Linked DNA regions of Saccharomyces cerevisiae S288C. Changing the gene in region 1 together with any one later gene gives a genetic interaction. Each region holds a gene or a part of one and is shown in the gene's direction. Other genes may lie near its edges. The genes, in order: SPO21, MSO1, POG1 and ADY4.

Region 1 (4,640 bases):
TGACAGGGGAGAAGAGGTCCCGCAGGAATTGATTAGAGAGCCTCGTATCAATGTGAATCAGACTGATTCTGGGATAGAGATCATACTTGACTGTTCTTTTGATGAGTTAATGAACGACAAGGAAATAGTAAGCTTGTCTAACCAGGTCACCAGGGCATACTCCGCGAATAGAAGGGCGAACCATTTTGCAGAAATAAAGGTGGCCCCATTCGACAAAAGACTAAAGCAAAGGTTTGAAACTACTCTGAAAAATACCAATTATGAAAACTGGAACCATTTTAAATTCCTACCAGACGACAAAATCATGTTTGGAGATGAGCATATAAGTAAGGACAAAATAGTGTATTTAACGGCCGATACAGAGGAAAAGCTGGAGAAGCTGGAACCCGGGATGCGATACATTGTTGGCGGCATTGTAGACAAGAATCGTTATAAAGAATTGTGTCTGAAGAAGGCCCAAAAGATGGGCATTCCTACGCGAAGATTGCCCATTGACGAGTACATCAATCTCGAAGGCAGAAGAGTGTTGACGACAACGCACGTCGTGCAACTCATGCTGAAATACTTTGATGACCATAACTGGAAAAATGCCTTTGAAAGCGTTTTACCACCCAGAAAGCTGGATGCGGAAGCAAAATCCGCAAGCTCTTCGCCAGCTCCAAAGGACACATAGGCAGCCATCACTGTAGTATTATTAGTAACTGAATAGCAAAATAGTAATAGTCTCCGTAGCTACAATAGGTGTATATTGATGTCAGAGATACGGGTTAAACATGCGCAACTGGTAGTAGTTCTTCAAAGGGTGTTTATGCTTATCATAGTACTTGGACATTAGCCGCCGAAACTGGCTCCACTCGAAATCTAAATGGCATTCCCTTTTTAATATTAACAACACCAATCTTAGTGTCCGAGAGGTCCAAATCTAATGTAGGGCCGTGGGAGGATACTTCTTATTTCTCTTTGCTTATTTTGCTTTGATGTTGTATGTGTTTTACCTGTAAATTCTCTAATATGGTCATTTTTGCTCTTAATGACTCTTTTATTTTTACCCGGATTGCAATTTTTCACATATCGTCTTTTTATTCACTACGTACTTTAATCGTCTTCGCGATGATATGTACTGCTAACGAAAGAATGCCATACAAAAAAAAAGCTACCACATCGCTCGACGACCTCAATTATGCAACTTGTGCCGCTAGAATTGAATAGATCCACTCTAAGTGGGATATCTGGGTCCATCTCCATCTCCTGCTGGATCATTGTGTTTGTCCCTCAAATTTACGAGAACTTTTACCGGAAGTCGTCTGATGGGCTGTCTTTATTGTTCGTGGTACTTTGGTTGGCCGGCGATGTCTTTAACCTTATGGGTGCCGTTATGCAACATCTTTTGTCTACCATGATCATTCTTGCTGCTTACTATACGGTGGCAGATATCATTTTACTAGGTCAATGTCTATGGTACGATAATGAGGAAAAACCAGCAGTAGACCCTATTCATCTCTCCCCTGCCAATCCAATAAACGAAAACGTTCTGCACGATGTGTTCAATGAACAACAACCGCTTTTGAATTCCCAAGGTCAGCCAAATCGTATTGATGAAGAAATGGCTGCTCCTTCATCCGACGGAAACGCTGGTGATGATAATCTCCGTGAAGTCAATTCAAGAAATTTGATAAAAGACATATTTATTGTTAGTGGTGTAGTTTTTGTAGGTTTCATCTCGTGGTATGTAACCTACTGCGTAAACTACACGCAACCTCCTCCCGTGGAGGATCCATCACTGCCTGTTCCCGAACTGCAGATCAATTGGATGGCTCAGATATTCGGTTACTTAAGTGCCCTTTTGTATCTGGGTTCAAGAATTCCTCAGATATTACTGAATTTTAAGAGAAAGTCTTGTGAAGGTATCAGTTTCCTATTCTTTTTGTTCGCCTGTTTGGGTAATACCACATTTATTTTCTCTGTGATTGTCATTTCTTTAGACTGGAAGTATCTAATTATGAATGCTTCCTGGTTGGTTGGAAGCATAGGTACTTTATTCATGGATTTCGTCATATTTTCCCAGTTTTTCATTTACAAAAGAAATAAAAAATTTATACTGAATTAACATGTTCTATCTAATATTTATTTAACATATTTTTGACCTCACAAACTTTTTTTTTTTTTCTCTCTGTCATTGACATTTTTTTAATGTCACAAAAAGAAAAATTAAATGTATTATAAAATTTCATTTAAATAGGAAAAAACCCGTGATTACTAAAGGCATATTAAAGATCTATTAAAGATCTATTAAAGCTTTCTGCTACCAGTATGGATAATATTTTAAAGGCATCAAATATGGAAGGGACTTCAACAATGACAGTTACCTCGCGTAGTTCTGAAGACTCTAGTTGTATCTCAAATCATGAACAAGATACCGATACACATAAGGACGGCGACACAAGTGGTCTGGAAAACAGTAAAATTTCGAAGAGAAAGTGGATGAAAGAGTTTTTTAAACTTTCCAAATCTCCAGCTTCCAAAAGCAGCCGGAGTATAGGTTCCATGAAAAGTAACCAGAGCCTCGTTTCAATGAAAAGTAGTGACGATGGCAACAGTTATAAAAATGATTACTCTTCTATCTGTGGTAACAGCCTTCCATCTGCAGGCTTGAGTCGTTCGAATAGTGTGAAAGAATTAAAATTAGATTCAACTGGAAGTCAGAGATCAAAAAATAATGTTGCCATGTTAGCACGTTCTTCTACAACATCTCAGACAACGTGCTCTTCTTCTTCATCATCATCTTCTTATAACTCTATAAAAGGAAATGAAAATGATATTTTATTGCAGAATAACAATCACTTTAGGCATAACAAAGAAATTCCTCAAAGTAAAGGGAGCTCCAACATTAACACCGCATCGATTATGAGCCAATACAATGTCGATACGCAAGCAACCGCTATAATGAGCGATATGCAAAAGCAATACGACTCGCAACAGATGACATCACCATTTGTAAACGAAGACTTGCATTTCGATCCAAATGGTGAAGTTTCACACGTAATAAAAGCAATTTTTAAAGAAATTGGTTATAAATACGATGATTTCAGTGATATTCCTGTTTTTCAATTAATGCAAGAAATGTATCAACTAGTGAAGAAGAATTCCAGCGCTAGAAGAACAAAGATAACAGACTATGCCTCTAAACTTAAAGAAAAAGAAGCGCAATTAAAAAGTCAAAATGACAAAATTTTGAAGTTAGAAACAACAAACAAGGCCTACAAAACTAAATACAAGGAGGTCTCTCTGGAAAATAAGAAAATAAAAGAGGCTTTCAAAGAACTAGACAATGAGTCATACAATCACGATGAGGAATTACTAAAAAAATACAAATATACTAGGGAAACCTTAGATAGGGTCAATAGAGAACAGCAATTAATCATTGATCAAAACGAGTTTTTGAAGAAAAGTGTCAATGAACTACAAAATGAGGTTAATGCTACCAACTTCAAGTTCTCTTTATTTAAAGAAAAATATGCAAAATTAGCTGATAGCATCACTGAATTGAATACCTCTACGAAAAAAAGAGAGGCCCTGGGAGAAAACTTAACTTTTGAATGCAATGAATTAAAAGAAATATGTTTGAAATACAAAAAAAACATCGAAAATATATCAAATACCAATAAGAATTTACAAAATTCGTTCAAAAATGAAAGGAAAAAAGTTTTAGATTTGAGAAATGAGAGAAATTTGTTGAAAAAGGAAATACTGTTGATTGAATGTCATGGTTCATATTCTCTACTCCTTGTATCTAATATTCTGACATGTTATCGGTTCTTACTGCCAAGTGATACTATTATTGAAACTGAAAGCTTAATTAAGGAGCTACTCAACATGAATAATTCACTTTCGAACCATGTGTCTTCTTCTGACGAGCCTCCAGCGGAGTACTCGAAAAGATTAGAATTAAAATGTGTAGAGTTTGAGGAAAAGTTACTTTATTTCTATCAAGAACTTGTGACGAAGAAAATTATAGACGTCATTTACAAGTGCTTTATTAATTATTACAAGAAAAGTAGGCAAACTGACCAAAAATCCAATCAGAACTCCAGCACTCCGTATAAACAAAGCCAAAGACAAGTTCCGCACTCCATCAAGTGAACCTCAACAGCTACACATTCTTTTATAATCCTTAATATTCTATATATACATATATGAAAAAATAGAAAACGCGAAAACTTGTCATTTTTTTTTTAGGCGTTTTTATAATATACTGAAAATAAAAAGAGGCTCTTTAAATGTTGACACTCTACTCCAATATCAACTGTAAAAAATCTCTTTATCTGCTGACCTAACATCAAAATCCTCAGATTAAAAGTATGTCCTCCACTAGGCCAGAGCTAAAATTCTCTGATGTATCAGAGGAGAGAAACTTCTATAAGAAGTATACAGGGTTGCCGAAGAAACCATTAAAAACCATTAGATTAGTGGATAAAGGCGACTATTACACAGTTATAGGTTCAGATGCGATATTTGTGGCAGATTCAGTCTATCATACTCAATCTGTTTTAAAGAACTGCCAATTGGACCCTGTAACGGCAAAGAACTTCCATGAACCAACTAAATATGTTACTGTTTCGCTACAAGTTCTTGCCACTCTG
Region 2 (4,252 bases), on another chromosome or scaffold:
GTGAGATTGCAATAAGCAATCAAGAGAGAAAAGTTTTTTGACTGATTTTCGACTTGCTTTTATACCGATTTTGAAAAGTCGCGGGGAAAAGCTGGCAATTATTTTTCATTTTTTTTCATTAGGGCTAGAAGTTGCTAAGAGCAAACAAACTGTTACTTGAAAGGTTTTCCCACGTTGGTAGCTACATATGCAAGAGTCTTATGTATCGTATCTAAGTGCCACGTAGGGGATTCCCATCATTTGATGATTTCCAAATATAATACCTGTAGAGAGCGGTGGAGCAAAAGTCAAATTTTAATCGCAACTGCAGACAAGTCAAGCTGAGGAAATTGTGGATGATCTCTTGTTTCTTTTGATATTCACCACAACAGAAGTGAAGAGTGTGATTGCGGTTACTACTGACCACGAAGCAATGCGTTTAGTAGTGAAAAGAATTACTCATACTCTGGAATCGAAATTCCGTTGGAAAAATTCGCTTTGTAGTGAAAAATAAAGATGTCAATAAAGGGTATTGAGAATTTCCAATGGAATTATCAGCAATAGATGATAGAAAGTAGCACAGAATTTGGCTTAATGGTATATAAACCGTAGGGTCCTGGTAAAATTACATGGGAAGGATCCTTAGGCAGTAGGGAAAACTTATCAGGACAATTGAGTTATATTAACGTATTATATATTTTAATATGGGAAAGAACGTTTTGTTGCTAGGATCTGGTTTTGTTGCACAACCTGTTATCGACACATTGGCTGCTAATGATGACATCAATGTCACTGTCGCATGTAGAACATTAGCCAATGCGCAAGCATTGGCCAAGCCCTCTGGATCCAAGGCTATTTCATTGGATGTTACCGATGACAGTGCCTTAGACAAAGTTCTGGCTGATAACGATGTTGTCATCTCTTTGATTCCATACACCTTCCATCCAAATGTGGTAAAGAGCGCCATCAGAACAAAGACCGATGTCGTCACTTCCTCTTACATCTCACCTGCCTTAAGAGAATTGGAACCAGAAATCGTAAAGGCAGGTATTACAGTTATGAACGAAATTGGGTTGGATCCAGGTATCGACCACTTGTATGCGGTCAAGACTATTGATGAAGTTCACAGAGCTGGTGGTAAGCTAAAGTCATTCTTGTCATACTGTGGTGGTTTACCAGCTCCTGAAGACTCTGATAATCCATTAGGATACAAATTTTCATGGTCCTCCAGAGGTGTGCTACTGGCTTTAAGAAACTCTGCTAAATACTGGAAAGACGGAAAGATTGAAACTGTTTCTTCCGAAGACTTAATGGCCACTGCTAAGCCTTACTTCATCTACCCAGGTTATGCATTCGTTTGCTACCCAAATAGAGACTCTACCCTTTTCAAGGATCTTTATCATATTCCAGAAGCCGAAACGGTCATTAGAGGTACTTTGAGATATCAAGGTTTCCCAGAATTTGTTAAGGCTTTAGTTGACATGGGTATGTTGAAGGATGATGCTAACGAAATCTTCAGCAAGCCAATTGCCTGGAACGAAGCACTAAAACAATATTTAGGTGCCAAGTCTACTTCTAAAGAAGATTTGATTGCTTCCATTGACTCAAAGGCTACTTGGAAAGATGATGAAGATAGAGAAAGAATCCTTTCCGGGTTTGCTTGGTTAGGCTTGTTCTCTGACGCAAAGATCACACCAAGAGGTAATGCTTTAGACACTCTATGTGCACGTTTAGAAGAACTAATGCAATATGAAGACAATGAAAGAGATATGGTTGTACTACAACACAAATTCGGTATTGAATGGGCTGATGGAACTACCGAAACAAGAACATCCACTTTAGTTGACTATGGTAAGGTTGGTGGTTACAGTTCTATGGCCGCTACTGTTGGTTATCCAGTTGCCATTGCAACGAAATTCGTCTTAGATGGTACAATCAAGGGACCAGGCTTACTAGCGCCATACTCACCAGAGATTAATGATCCAATCATGAAAGAACTAAAGGACAAGTACGGCATCTATCTAAAGGAAAAGACAGTGGCTTAAATAAGAAGAAATGTATCAAAAGGTTTATCATACGTAACAGTAACGGCACTTTATAAATCTTTCTTTAGTATTACTTATACTTTCATAAGGAAACGTAAAAAAAAAAAAACCGGAAAGAGGGACAAAATGGACTAGAACGTAATTGAGAGTGTAGTTCCTGAAGCTTGAACCGCTAGTAAGTCGTCTACCTTTAGTCTAAAAAGTATTGGCTATTGCATTTTATAGTCTTGCTTCTGATCAGAACGTATTAAATGAGCTCGTAAAGACTCTTAGGAGTTTTTCACTTTTAGAGATTAATACTATTAGGAAAGGTGCAAAAAAATAAAACGCCAACTAACTATTAGACGCTAGGCCCTAATACCAACTACCAGTATAACTAAGATTTCACGCATATGATGAGTCAAGTATCGCATTCCCAAGAAGGATCCGGGCGATTTTGGAACAAGTTTAAGTCGTCAACCAAATCGTTATCTACATCGTTGGCACATTTATCCATTAAAGCAGAAAAAGATGGTGATACTGTAAATACTACATTGGTCCATAAAGGGCTTGTGAAATTCTATGAAAATCAGCATCCTTTCCAGGGGTTCCCAGGATGGTTGGGGGAGAAGGAAGATTTACCGAACGAACGTAAAATATTAGATACTCAAGTGAAGCATGATATGAAGAAGCAAAACTCGCGTCATTTCTCGCCATCCTTTTCTAACAGAAGGAAGGCTTCTTCAGAAGATCCTATGGGTACACCTTCTTCAAACGGGAACACACCGGAGTACACGCCTGCGAGTAAATCGTTTCAAGATATATACAATAATCATACAAGCTCCTCTAGCGCGACACCGAGAAGAGCTTCATCACGGCCGACTAGACCTTCAGCAGGCCAAGAATTCAGGGCAAGTCTCGGTCGAAGTAAAACGTCGAACAGTTTCAACACCTCCAGCACGCCAACGCCGCCACCAGACGCAAGTAGTGGAGTAATGGCAATGAAGGACAGACTAAAGAGACGCAATAACGATTATGGATTTTAAATAGCACTATACCTTGCTGAAATAAAGCGAAAAGAACATTTAATGAATATATAGGTATCGTATATGTACTGAATAAAGTGTTTGATACAGAATGCAAGGAGATAATATAGTATGGTATATAACCTCGTCCTTATTTTGAATATACATGAAATTACAACGCTTCCCTAGAGACCGAATCAAACGCAGGGATTTTATAGTAAATGATAATCAATCATAAAATTTCTCTCAATGGAATACTAACGACACTACTCTCATCGAATGGGGTATCGCTGTTCTCAAAATTTAGGTAGCTATGATCATGCATAGGTCTTGGTTTGAAGATGACTTTTATCAGGAATAGTATGGCGAAAAGAGTTGCAATCCCGGCAACAATCAAATAAACAATCCCTAATGCCTCGTTTCCAGCACCGATAATACTGTTTGTGGTTAATACAAAAGATTTTGTTCCATAGAAAGATCTTACTGGGTAGTTGAGTTCTATATCAGCAATGTAAATACCCTTACCTAACCCATTGGTCTCATTTTTCATTGCTAGCTTATAGAAGTTGGGCAATGCAGCAGTTCTCATCCATATTTTGAACTGTTCCCAGTTTTGTAGGTCTGGAATGTTATCGTCAGTGTAGCCATTGGGAAATAACTTGGCCCAATTTGGGGGCGGTACGATATCGGATGCATTGTATTCGGTCTTTCCATATCTGTGGCTGTCGGTGTCCCACGCAATACCTTTTGTGGTAAGCAAATAATCTGCAGTATCGTTTACACCAGTAAGTGTTGTGCCGAATGTATCATTGAACATCGAATTTGCTATCAATCCACAGGGGAATATGGTCTTATTTTCTACCGTCCTTAAAGGGTCACAGTTTGGATCCAGATCATTTCCGATCAATGCTTTTCCTTTTAATTGGTCTAGGTCAAGAGATTGCACATATTCTCTATAGTTTTGATTGAAATTTGTTAGGCGGTAATAAACATAAGTAGATTTCTTGATATGATTTGGAACTTCGAACTGTATTCGACAAGTTTGATTGCCTAATTCAGGATCCGTAAGTACCATCCATTGAGGTTGGACTGCGACTTTCTTACTGAAGTGGTAGTCCACGTACTCGGAGGGAATCGTTTCAAAATGCTTCGCCGGTGCCAATGCATCACATTCTGTGTAGTTTACCACTAGTCTTTGGACACTTATCGTGCTGACCACCAGCC
Region 3 (6,346 bases), on another chromosome or scaffold:
CATGAAATTATTCTGTATTTATCTTCGCATTCCCTCTCTTACTTCAAAAGTGAGAACAGCATATTCAAATATATATATCTACTCAGTTGAATAAGACACTATAGCAAGACCATTTGAACTGAAAGAAACAGTTTCTTTGCTCCCCTCTCGAATTCCAACTATTTACAGTCCTTCCTTTATAAAAATTAACTAGCGAGCAAGAAAACATTTGTTTAGTGCTACCCAACTACTTACATTCCTTTAAAAACCACAATATTTAAGTTAACCTGAGCTTTATTTTTAGTAAGTTATTTACCACAATTTTTCTCATACACCTTTACAATCCGTATTGCCATGAATACCAAGGCTTGCTCAGCTTCTGCAGCAGTTCAACCCTTTCCAATACCGCCAATGCGTCCTCAAAACGTTAGTTTAGTCGTGCTCAACCGCTATTTTTGGTTTTATCTTCGTTTCTTTCTCCTGAACGACATTCGTCACGAAAATTGCGGCGGAAAATTTCCTGATGCGGACACTTTTTCCCGATCCGGACATGCCTTTTTTTGGCGTTTCGCGTCAGTCAATAGAAGTTTCAGATCTACATTAGGAAGAACCAGAAAATAGCCATTAATGCTTTCAGCATAGCACAGCATAGCAGCTGTGTATATCTTAAATAAGATGTAGACTGGTTTGCATTTGGAAAGGTTTTGTGTAAGAAAAGCAATACTTGAGGTAAAACAAGAGAAAAAAAAACACTTTACTAACTAATATCCAATCCTTTATTTTTTTGCAGAAATGAAATTCTCAACTGCCGTTACTACGTTGATTAGTTCTGGTGCCATCGTGTCTGCTTTACCACACGTGGATGTTCACCAAGAAGATGCCCACCAACATAAGAGGGCCGTTGCGTACAAATACGTTTACGAAACTGTTGTTGTCGATTCTGATGGCCACACTGTAACTCCTGCTGCTTCAGAAGTCGCTACTGCTGCTACCTCTGCTATCATTACAACATCTGTGTTGGCTCCAACCTCCTCCGCAGCCGCTGCGGATAGCTCCGCTTCCATTGCTGTTTCATCTGCTGCCTTAGCCAAGAATGAGAAAATCTCTGATGCCGCTGCATCTGCCACTGCCTCAACATCTCAAGGGGCATCCTCCTCCTCCTCCTCCTCCTCGGCAACTTCTACCCTAGAAAGCAGCTCTGTTTCTTCATCTAGTGAAGAAGCTGCTCCAACATCTACTGTCGTGTCAACTTCTTCCGCAACCCAATCTAGTGCTTCTTCTGCCACTAAATCTAGTACTTCTTCCACTTCACCATCTACTTCTACTTCTACTTCCACTTCTTCTACTTCCTCTTCCTCTTCCTCCTCCTCCTCCTCTTCTTCTTCTTCTTCTGGCAGTGGTAGTATCTACGGTGATTTGGCCGACTTTTCAGGCCCAAGTGAGAAATTCCAAGACGGCACTATTCCATGTGACAAATTCCCATCTGGTCAAGGTGTCATTTCTATTGACTGGATTGGCGAGGGTGGATGGTCCGGTGTGGAAAACACCGACACTTCCACTGGCGGTTCATGCAAGGAGGGGTCCTACTGTTCCTACTCCTGCCAACCAGGTATGTCTAAGACCCAATGGCCATCCGATCAACCATCTGACGGTAGATCTGTCGGGGGTTTGTTGTGTAAAAATGGTTATTTGTACCGTTCTAACACTGACGCGGATTACTTATGTGAATGGGGTGTCGAGGCTGCCTATGTTGTTTCTAAACTAAGCAAGGGTGTCGCCATTTGCAGAACCGACTACCCGGGCACTGAAAACATGGTTATCCCAACCTATGTTGAAGGGGGTAGCTCTTTGCCATTGACCGTTGTTGACCAAGATACTTACTTTACTTGGGAAGGCAAAAAGACATCTGCTCAATACTACGTTAATAACGCCGGCGTCTCAGTTGAAGATGGGTGTATCTGGGGTACTTCTGGATCTGGTATTGGTAACTGGGCACCATTAAACTTTGGTGCTGGCTCCACTGGTGGAGTGACATACTTATCATTGATTCCTAACCCAAACAACAGCGACGCATTGAACTACAACGTCAAGATAGTTGCTGCTGATGATTCATCCAATGTCATCGGTGAATGTGTTTACGAAAATGGTGAGTTCTCTGGCGGTGCTGACGGGTGTACCGTCTCTGTTACTTCCGGTAAAGCTCATTTCGTCTTATACAATTAAGCTACGTGACTACTACTTTTCCTTTTTTTTTTCTTTTTTCGAACACATCTCACCCCCTATACCTCACACAATCACTATGGTCCCCTTTTCTTTTTACCGATATTTATACTGTCCACCTTTTTCTTTTCGTTAATGGCCTCAATGTTTCTGTACCATTATCCAAGTGAACTTGTTAGACGACCAAATATAGCCAAGATTCATTACGATTATCTTTAACTAGCAAGTAGTATTCTTGGATAGAGAGATTTTCAAAGACGGAACAATTTTAAATAGATTTACATAAGAAAACACATACTGTCCGATACCCATAAGAAATTTAAGAACTCTTTTCATCTTCAGCTTTCCGGCCTCCTTTTACTGTAGCCTGTTCCTAGACAGCTAAAAATAGTACATATGCAGCTCTGCAATAGTCTCAAAGGGGATATTGTGTAGGTTTACGAAATCATCACATTTCCGAATCAGGACATGAAGGCACAACTTTCCGCACGTAGTGTTTTCAGCCCCCAGCGCCTGTCGGCGCGAAGAGGATCTGCGGAGATGAGCTTTGCCCCGCCATTACCCGTAAAATATTACTGTTTTGGGCAATTGTGGATCAAAAAGGGAAAATGCGGATGGTGAAAAAAATTTTTGGAAATTTACTGCTTCAGATGGGGGAACTTTGTAAGTTCTTCCTTTTTTTTCGTAGAGGTTGGAAAATTCAGAGTGCTAAGAAATTAAAAGGTATGCACTGCCTATTCTCATAAAAGCAAAAGTGCACAAAAATAATAAGGTGTGAAGCAATAGTAGAAAAGACACTGGGAACCCAAGGTATCTTATTTTAACAGATAAGTAAAACTAAGATCAAATCGCGTACTGATATCACTTAAGGTTCGCGTATTTTAAAGGCTACGCAGAAGAGGAAATAAATTGCGTGCAATCCCTGCGCTTAACTCATACAAAAAGGCGCAAAACATTTCAAGAGTCCCACGATTAATTGCAGAAATTGAAAAAAAATAAGTAAAGACGAAAATCAAAGTGGATGCCATATTATGAAGCAGGAGCCACATAGACAATCCGAAGAAAAAGAGAAGCCGAAAGGACCAATGGCTGTTGAACGAGAGCAGCATACCTCATTATCTTCTGGTACAACCGTGACAGCTAGTACAGGAGACGAGAGTACCAACAGTAGACCAGTGGAATCATCGCAAACAGAAAAGTCTCTATCGCTTCGAATAAGAATATTAAAACAACTTGGGTTTGACGATATTCAAGAACTAAATGCATGCGACACTGGCCTAGTGGAGCAATTTTTAAACGTACGATTGATAAACGACACAAAAGAACTAGAAAAGATACGCGAGTCAAATCTTGCGAAACTAAACCAGATTATTGATAAATGTATGGAAAGTGATAAAATAAGTGATTCGACATTAAACAAGATTCTTGATATGTCCATGAATAGAGATACAAATAATGATAACAACAATCATCTTACGATACCGTCTCCGATAACGACAAAGAAACGCAAGATAAACGCCTCCGAACTTGCAAGTCCACGAGGCCATAGAAGATATAGATCTGATATACCTACAGTGTCAGAAGTTGAGACAGGGGTCGGATACCCTCAAATACACCAGCAACCAGGCGCATATACTTTACCTATGCCTGCAAATCAGTGGATGAGCAACCCGTATATGCAACCTCCGCAACCACAAGTGCAACAGATAATGCCGCAGTATTTATATCCACCAGGGATGGGACCACAAGCTCAGCTTCCTACAATGAGCTCAAACTCGGAGTCCCAGACACCAGTGATGAGCTCACAGTTTCTTTCCTTGAACCAGCATGGCCTTTACCAACAAAATATAGGTGCTCATCCGGTAATGAGTATGGGCCCACAGGCAAATATATACGGGCAGCAGCACCAGCTGCAACCTGGTCAGGAACGAGACCAGTCAAGAAAAAGTTTTAGTCATAGAAGGTCACAAAGTGCCAATATTTCCATGGCAAATTTTAGGTCGCCCATGCGAAATCCCCAGCCGGCTTCGTCCCAAAGGCCCGTCAATTTTCTCATTCATACACCAAAACATCCTCCTCCCACATGACGTGCAGTAATTTTCATTTTTATCACCTAATTTCTAAAACTATATCCCTTCCTAACCTTCATTCGATGCATCCGTCCACCTTACTTCAGTTCAAAAAAAAATATATATCCATATATATGCTACAGTGTTATTATTACGATTTCTTTGCCTTTACTCCTTATCTCATTTCAATCATGAATAAACAGGATATTGATAATATATGCTGTCATTTTGGATTCAGTCTGCTTAACTGTCTTGTCCACCCCCGGTGTTCTTACCCGTCTGAGCGGTCGTAAGACGGAGGTAATAATTTTTCAGCATCCTGACCTCCCCCCCAAATCTGTGCCTTTCACCACATTTTTCTCGAGAAAATGTGTCTTGGCTCAGATGATGTCGTATGAGCTACTGGACTTTTTTTTGTTGGCCCTGATGAAAATAGTAATGGCGGTTACAGAACAGATAAACGGCGTCACCATCTTTTCCTAGATAAAGAAGCAATCTCTAGATAATGGGGTATATAAATATACATTGTAAAAACGGCAAGTCAGTTGCTGGTCATTTTAGTAGAAACTCTGCTCTCAAACTTGAGTACTGCAACGATGGCAGGAGCAACATCAAGTATAATTCGGGAAAATGATTTTGAGGACGAGCTTGCGGAGAGTATGCAGTCATATAATAGAGAAACTGCAGACAAATTGGCTTTGACTAGGACCGAGAGTGTAAAGCCAGAACCGGAGATAACCGCTCCGCCTCACTCACGCTTTTCCCGTTCTTTCAAGACAGTTTTAATAGCTCAGTGCGCTTTCACTGGGTTTTTCTCCACAATAGCAGGTGCCATCTACTATCCAGTTCTGAGCGTTATAGAAAGAAAATTCGATATTGACGAGGAATTGGTGAATGTCACTGTTGTAGTATATTTTGTATTTCAGGGTCTTGCCCCCACATTCATGGGCGGGTTTGCCGATTCACTGGGCAGGAGACCGGTGGTGCTTGTCGCAATCGTCATTTATTTTGGTGCCTGCATCGGTCTTGCTTGTGCTCAAACGTATGCTCAGATCATTGTGCTAAGATGTCTACAAGCCGCCGGTATTTCACCCGTGATTGCGATTAACAGCGGAATAATGGGAGATGTTACTACTAGAGCCGAGCGCGGCGGGTACGTTGGATATGTTGCTGGATTTCAAGTTCTAGGTTCTGCGTTCGGAGCCCTTATCGGTGCCGGATTATCATCTAGATGGGGATGGAGAGCCATCTTTTGGTTCTTAGCAATTGGATCTGGCATTTGCTTCCTAGCCTCGTTTTTAATTTTGCCAGAAACAAAGAGGAACATATCCGGGAATGGTTCTGTCACCCCAAAATCATACTTAAATAGAGCTCCCATTCTTGTTTTGCCAACAGTAAGAAAATCATTGCATTTGGATAATCCAGATTACGAAACATTGGAACTGCCCACGCAACTAAATCTACTGGCGCCCTTCAAGATTTTGAAAGCTTATGAAATTTGTATACTTATGCTAGTCGCTGGATTACAATTTGCCATGTATACTACGCACCTTACGGCGTTATCCACAGCTTTGAGTAAACAATATCACTTGACTGTTGCAAAGGTAGGATTATGCTACCTTCCCTCCGGTATCTGCACATTATGTAGTATTGTCATTGCTGGAAGATATTTGAATTGGAATTACAGGCGCAGATTAAAATATTACCAAAATTGGTTGGGCAAGAAGAGATCAAAGCTTTTAGAAGAACACGACAACGACCTTAATTTGGTGCAACGTATCATAGAAAATGATCCCAAATACACCTTTAATATCTTCAAGGCGAGGTTGCAACCCGCATTTGTTACCTTGCTTTTAAGCAGTAGCGGATTTTGTGCGTACGGATGGTGCATTACTGTCAAAGCCCCTTTAGCGGCCGTTCTTTGCATGAGTGGATTTGCGTCGCTGTTTTCCAATTGCATTTTGACTTTTTCAACAACTCTAATAGTTGATCTTTTTCCCACGAAGACATCTACGGCTACGGGATGTTTAAACCTTTTCAGATGCATTCTATCTGCTGTGTTTATAGCTGCATTGAGT
Region 4 (6,923 bases), on another chromosome or scaffold:
GGTAAATACATCGAGGATAGAGTCCTCGCGACGGTCGTGCAATGGATAAACCCAACGGAATTTTGTTGTCTCATCAGTAAATGAGATGAAATAGGATGGTGCACTTTTTGGTAGGTTGTGAACTGGACCAAATATGTCAGTATGTAGGTATTGAAAGGGTTCGTATGAATTTTGGTATTTTAGTCGTGAACCTTTGATATGTCTGTGTTTGGTGCTTTTGCCGATTAAACAATCAGGACATTGATAGTCAATAGCACTAGACCAGTCGACATCTGATTCGTTAAAATACGTGATGGTGTTATTTTTAAGTGAGTATCGAATTGTCTGTGCATTGGCATGCGCAAGCATTCGATGAATGAAAGGATAAGGATATTTGCGTGTACTTTCACTTGTATGGACATTATTGATGGTGGGTACGGAGATATTTGATGGAAGCAAGTACCTTTTAGATACCCAGTAAAAGTCTCCATATTGTACGATAGGTGCAAGTACAGTGCCGTCAGATCGTTCTAAGACGTTTTTGGTAAAGCATGCTGTGATATCTACTGCAGCCAATTCATTCAAACTGAGTAAGTCATAGGCTATGTTAGGAGTGTGCAATACCTTTATTGATGTTTTGGTGTTGTCCTGGAAGTGAAATTGTAGGTCACCAATAGCGTTAATTGGTATATTTCTTTTTTGAGCATCAACTACGTTTATGTCAGGATTAGATGATGCTGAGTGTATGTGATGAGCAGATCTTATAAGGGTTCGTGATGCTCCTGAATCGAGAAGGAGGTGTCCAGGGAGTTCATCATCAGAATGATTAGTGTGATTTACCGTAGATTCAGTAAGTTCCTGGCCTAAGGTGAAGGTCGTGCTTATTGTTCAATTGAATCGGTTCAGTAGTTGATTTACTGATGGAATCGTTGTCCGTGCTGGGAGAGTTATTAGATGTGGATACATTGTGAGCCCTGGCTGTTTTCGATTTCGAATTATTTGTTTTTTGAGGATTCCGAGCTATAACTTTGGGTTTGGTTGTATTCGTATAGCTGCGAGAATCATTCTTCTCATCACTCAGATTTCTCCTGTAATTAGGTTTGCTGTTTCTCGATCCCTGTTGTTCTTCATAAATAGCATGGATATCTAAGAACAGTTCAGCGACTGTCATATTTAGATGTCGATGACGTGTGTAGCGTAAAAATTTATATTCGCCAGATAGACCTCTCATAATTAATTGGCATGCGACCTTGTTATTGATATGAATGCCATTATTGTTCAGTCTGTCGATAATGTTTGTGACTTTTGTTTCAAATGCATCTGCAGGTGTACTGCCATTATATTGCAAATTTGCCAGGGTCACAATGTCGTTTGCCTCTTGGGTATCAGATTGCATTTTTTCAATACTTTTGGAAAGAATTTTCATGATATCCGTATAATCAACGGATAGGATGTCTTTGACCCAGGTAGGTAGGAATTGAGAGGGAGCAAATATTTGAAAAGTGTTATACAAGAAGGTGAGTTCATCATCAGTGATCTGACGTACGGGTTTTCCGTTTACTGTCGGAATAATACCACCGAGATTCGAGTTTTGTAAAAATTTGATGTATGTTTTAACCCAATTTGGAAAGTCATTAGGTGAGGTTAACATTGGTGGTGGTCTGACATATTTTTTAGTGGATGTCATATCAGAGTCCGCTGAGGATGAATCAGTAAATGTATTACCTGACTCAGGTGATGGAGTGCTCAGAGGCGTTCCAACTGATGATGGATACTGCGGAAACTGTGATTGTGGCCCAGGTGGAAAGTACATAGGCGACATTTGATAAGGTGTATACGGAATCATAGATGGGTGTCCGTAAAATGACCAACCAGATGGATTGGCTTGGTTTTGGGTCATCATGCACTGCTGTGGGTACGGCCCATTCTGTGGAGGTGGTACTGAAGCAGGTTGAGGAGAGGCATGATGGGGGTTCTCTGGAACAGCTGATGAAGCAGGTGTTGTTGTCTGTTGAGAGTTAGCCTTAGTGGAAGCCTTCTCACATTCTTCTGTTTTGGAAGCTGAAACGTCTAACGGATCTTGATTTGTGTGGACTTCCTTAGAAGTAACCGAAGCACAGGCGCTACCATGAGAAATATGTGAATGTTGAGATAATTGTTGGGATTCCATTGTTGATAAAGGCTATAATATTAGGTATACAGAATATACTAGAAGTTCTCCTCAAGGATTTAGGAATCCATAAAAGGGAATCTGCAATTCTACACAATTCTATAAATATTATTATCATCATTTTATATGTTTATATTCATTGATCCTATTACATTATCAATCCTTGCGTTTCAGCTTCCACTAATTTAGATGACTATTTCTCATCATTTGCGTCATCTTCTAACACCGTATATGATAATATACTAGTAATGTAAATACTAGTTAGTAGATGATAGTTGATTTCTATTCCAACATATTCCAACAAAAATGATATCGATCCCAAAGAGCTCCTAAGCTAGGGAAATCGCGGAGATATATGCATTTCCCAAATAATTTATGCTTTCCCACATTTGCTAACTTAATTGTTGGAATAAAAATCAACTATCGTCATTAACTAGTAGTCTTACTACGCGTATATTATCATATACGGGTAGTTAGATGATGACATAAGGTATGAGAAGATGCAACCGAAGTTAAAGGAAGCTGAAATGGAAGGATTGATAATGTAATAAGATAATGAAAAATATAAAACGGAAGGAGAAATAATCGTAATATTATTGTGTAGAAATATCGATTCCATTTGAGAGTTTCTATATCCTCGAGGAGAACTTCTAGTTTATTCTTATACATAATATTATAGCCTTAATCAACAATGGAATCCCAACAATTATGTCAAACTTTACCAATTTCTCATTAATAAGTAATCAGCCAAGAAAAAGACTTTAGAAATAAATGGCTAACCCAATGGCTTGTATAATCCATCGTTTTCAACATACAATGGGAGTTTGGCCGAGTGGTTTAAGGCGTCAGATTTAGGTGGGTTTAACCTCTAAAATCTCTGATATCTTCGGATGCAAGGGTTCGAATCCCTTAGCTCTCATTATTTTTTGTTTTTTGCCATCTTTACTTTTTCCTATAAATTACTAGATCGTATCATTTTAGCACAGTTGTTTCACTCCAGTTCATAATTAATGTAGCCATTTCTCTAAAAGTTGGCAAAGCTTCCTTTACGTTCGTAAGTAGGGAAAGAATTATGACGTGTTACCAGACCCTGTCTGCCGGGTGATTTTGGGGCCACAAAACTGGTATAGCAGCGAATTCGCATATGAAATGCAGTAGCTGAACCTGTCCATTGCCACAAAAGTTCTATTTACTAAATTTGAATGAAGTGCCCCGGCACTATAGAGAATTTTTCTGTCAAATTTTTATTGGGCGTAAAGGTTTGCGCTGTCACAGAGAAGACGATTTACCCATGATTATGTTACTACTCATCTCCAACAGGAGGAAATACAAACAAAATTGTACATATATGCCCTATTTATTGATCATAGTCACAAATTGTCGGCTCACGTATAATGAATAAAGACGTCGACTATCAAACTTTTAAAAAAAGTTTAAGAAAAGAATTTAAAAAAGCTGTGAAGACTATCCTAAATTTACAAGCATATAATGGTGATTTGATAAGGGACTTTTTGGCTCTTTATATTCCGTACCATGTAGTTTTTTATAATCTTTCGATCATGAAAAAAGGTTCACCATTAAGGATTCAAACCAATAACCTTCTGAAAGAAGCGCTGGCCAAAATTTTAAACTTTAATCTTGCGATGGGTCCAAAACATATCATCAAGATAATGAAGAAAGATAAAGCCGATCCAGAGACAATGAATAAATTAAAACTGGTACTATATATAAAATTATTTCAAGGAGTATTTGGTCATGTAGATAAAAATTATAACCTCGCATTTCAATCTTTTCGCTGGTGCTTACAATTCATTGCGTACTCAAAAAGGACAAGACTATTTGCAAGTATCGCAGACGAGCAAATTGGAGCTTTTTATGAACTTTGCGAACTATTTATATCCATGTTGTGTTGCCACTGTTTTCTAATTGATTTGAAAGAAAATGAAGCATTGGTAGGCAATAATCTAAAAAATTTTATCAAAAGACAAAACCCTAATTATTCCCATGGCTTCGATTTAAATGAGGAGACCAAGTCACTTCAATGGCACTGGTCACTCGACGAGGTAGATGTTATTGAGGCGTTATACTGCGTCGCTTTCGATGCGATGGATAAGATAACGCTTAAATTTTCAAAGGTCAATGAAAATTTTGTTTTTAGTCAGTTTTTTCAGTATTGTGCAGAAATCGAAGAAATGTTAGCCATTCTGAGAGGAAAAATTTGGGAGTGTGAATGTGATGTGTTCGGTCCCAGAATCGGACTATTAGTAGATAGTAACCACATGAATGAAACAATTCAAAAAAATATTCTGTCAATAACTTTCAAACTTAAAAATGACCCTCAGATTATATGCTGCTTGAATAAAATTCTGGAAGGCTTATTACTTTCATCAGGTGTTCAATTTAAAGTTATCCAGTTTTTTTATGTATTAAAACTATACTATATGCAAGATAATGAATACACATTCGAAGCATCATCTGAAATGGATAAATTGACCATAGAATGCTTATGTATCATCGAAAATATTATTGATGCTTGTGACAATCCTGATGAAGTAACTGACTACCAACTACCTAAGGTACTGTTGACTGCTATGGAGGGGAAATTACTTGTTGCTGAAAAAATATCCGAAGATAATGACTGTTCAGAATCTCTGGACGATTATCATCCCCGAACTTACCAATTCAGACATCCCAGAATAATAATAGACAAGATGAAAACAAAATTGAAGCAGAAACTGCGCTTTGACTCACCTAAAGATCCAGAAACAGATGATCATTGGATTGAGTATTGGAAATATTGCTATCAGGATAACATAGGGAACTTGCCGGACATTTTGTCACGTATATATCAAACCTTTACTGATCCCTCCAATTAAACATAACTTGTACTCTATTTTTATATTTTAGGTTTTTTGGCATCTGGGGTTCTTATAGGATCTTTAGCCTTTCTCTTCATACTTTCTTGTTTAGCCTTATCTAGTAAATCTTTAACCCTTGTTTCAATATGATTCAAAAACTCTTCCTTCACCTCACCGGATTTAATCAACTCGTAGTTAAACGGATCAGAGATTTCTGAAACTTCATTTTCCACATCGCCACTTTCGTCAATCACCGAATCAATCATGCTTGAATCAATTTGTAATTTAGCACCTTTATTACTTTTTAAGTTGAAAAAATTCTCTTCCAGTAACTTGTAATCGGTAAAGATATTGGCAAAATTTTCCGGCGTTACTTCGATAGGGAATCTATCCTTGAAGAAGTTTTTCGGATATCTGAAATCTTTGTCTACAAGCTTTTTATACTCTAAACCACAGTATATGAGAGATAGTACAATGAACGTATAACCGTCGCACAATAAAGAAACTGGCTGGGTGACAGCTTGGACCATAAAATTTCTTGATTCTTGAAGAATTTTTGGAAAAGCTTTTTTAAAGTTTTCTGGCAGATTGTGATCCCTGTTGAATCTATAATAGCCACTGAACACTTCTTCAATCAATTCTTTTGGATTACTGATATTTAAGTCAAAGCCAAATAAACATAGTATTTTTTTTTCATTCGTCACTAACTTATCTCTAAATTCCCATTTAAGTTTATCAATATTTGTTCGACTTTTTAAAGACGGTATATTTTGCATCAAAAACTCACAAGTCGCCTTAATATAGGCCTCTATAGGCCTATTATTCTCCATTGTTTTGCAAGCGGTGACCAGAATTCCCTGTGATATATGAATACATTCAGTTATGGCTGTAGGTATTCCATATATGAACCAATACCTGTAAAATAGAATGCATGATGCCGTATAGGTGTGATCAAAAAGATTTAATTTTTTTTTAAGTGTGTAAAAGTACATTAAGCATTTTTCCATATTTTTTTTTATTTCCACTGCTATCGGTCCATTAGTGCCTATCTTTTCAATAATATCTTTGCACTCAAAAACCCACTGGTTTTCTGGTGTTTCTATCAAATCCGGCCATAGGGTCCTTGCGTTAAACCCACTCGATGCTGGTGGTGGTGATGCATTGCTCGTTGGTTTTGGTACAGCTTGAAATTTTTTCACGTCACCACTTGAAGATGTAGCAGACATTATCTTACTGTAATATATTTTAAACGAAAATACTACGGCCTCCTTCAATATGTGTATATAATTACCAATCAAAATAGCTACTTGCTTTCTAACAGAAATAGTGATACTTTTTAATCACTTTTCTTTTTTTACTGAACAGTGAAAAATAGAAGTCACAATGAGACCTAGGTCAAAAAGCCATAATGAATAGGGTTTGCAATAAAAAAGCTTTAAACGATAGGTCTGTTAAAGAGGATAAATAGGTTTATCATGTATCATTTGGTTTTTTGGGATAGGGCTTGGCAAAAACCATAACAGGGGAATGAGATTTTATATATAAATAGACAAGATAGATACTAAAATAGTGACGGATTCTCTCTAAATATTCGAGAAATTTTCAAAATTTTAGGGCAACGAACAGTTTAATTAACATAAAAATCATAGAGCAAAGAAAAAATGGCGGTTGCGATCAAAAAGGAGAAGACGAAATTTGCCCCCGTTAAGGAAGTTTTATCCGAGAAGGATCATGCTAATTATACTAAATTTCAGGATACATCGAAACTAGAATGGTTTTGCAGGACGTCAAATCACAAAAAGTTCAAGTCACATAGTTTATTAAAAGCAGTAAGAAATCCAACGGAAACAAGAATAGAGACACAAACTCTGTATTTTACGGATCTCACCAACGGCAAATGTGGATTAATTCAACTA

Evidence for each region.
Region 2: mutations in SPO21 (region 1) and MSO1 together harm fitness more than expected from each alone (negative genetic interaction), as found in Saccharomyces cerevisiae (one large-scale study listed by BioGRID).
Region 3: mutations in SPO21 (region 1) and POG1 together harm fitness more than expected from each alone (negative genetic interaction), as found in Saccharomyces cerevisiae (one large-scale study listed by BioGRID).
Region 4: mutations in SPO21 (region 1) and ADY4 together harm fitness more than expected from each alone (negative genetic interaction), as found in Saccharomyces cerevisiae (one large-scale study listed by BioGRID).

What each region holds. Positions count from the first base shown.
Region 1 is NC_001147.6:143,024-147,663, forward strand, and holds SPO21 (Spo21p), read left to right. Parts: upstream 1-2,310; coding exon 2,311-4,140; downstream 4,141-4,640. Other genes in the region: TRM10 (tRNA (guanine(9)-N(1))-methyltransferase), read left to right, coding at 1-673; YPQ1 (cationic amino acid transporter), read left to right, coding at 1,181-2,107; mismatch repair ATPase MSH2, read left to right, coding at 4,359-4,640. UniProt on the Saccharomyces cerevisiae protein: Involved in the pathway that organizes the shaping and sizing of the prospore membrane (PSM) during sporulation.
Region 2 is NC_001146.8:711,820-716,071, reverse strand, and holds MSO1 (Mso1p), read left to right. Parts: upstream 1-2,416; coding exon 2,417-3,049; downstream 3,050-4,252. Other genes in the region: LYS9 (saccharopine dehydrogenase (NADP+, L-glutamate-forming)), read left to right, coding at 684-2,024; YNR048W (putative aminophospholipid translocase regulatory protein), read right to left, coding at 3,261-4,252. UniProt on the Saccharomyces cerevisiae protein: Involved in secretion. Component of the secretory vesicle docking complex.
Region 3 is NC_001141.2:127,380-133,725, forward strand, and holds POG1 (Pog1p), read left to right. Parts: upstream 1-3,230; coding exon 3,231-4,286; downstream 4,287-6,346. Other genes in the region: putative glucosidase SIM1, read left to right, coding at 772-2,202; QDR2 (cation transporter), read left to right, coding at 4,865-6,346. UniProt on the Saccharomyces cerevisiae protein: Transcriptional activator which promotes cell cycle recovery with CLN2, after pheromone induced G1 arrest, probably inhibiting the ability of STE20 to activate the pheromone response pathway.
Region 4 is NC_001144.5:588,664-595,586, reverse strand, and holds ADY4 (Ady4p), read left to right. Parts: upstream 1-3,543; coding exon 3,544-5,025; downstream 5,026-6,923. Other genes in the region: YLR227W-A (gag protein), read right to left, coding at 827-2,149; BUR2 (Bur2p), read right to left, coding at 5,046-6,233; YLR225C (uncharacterized protein), read left to right, coding at 6,669-6,923. UniProt on the Saccharomyces cerevisiae protein: Involved in the pathway that organizes the shaping and sizing of the prospore membrane (PSM) during sporulation. May be required to stabilize the outer plaque of the spindle pole body (SPB).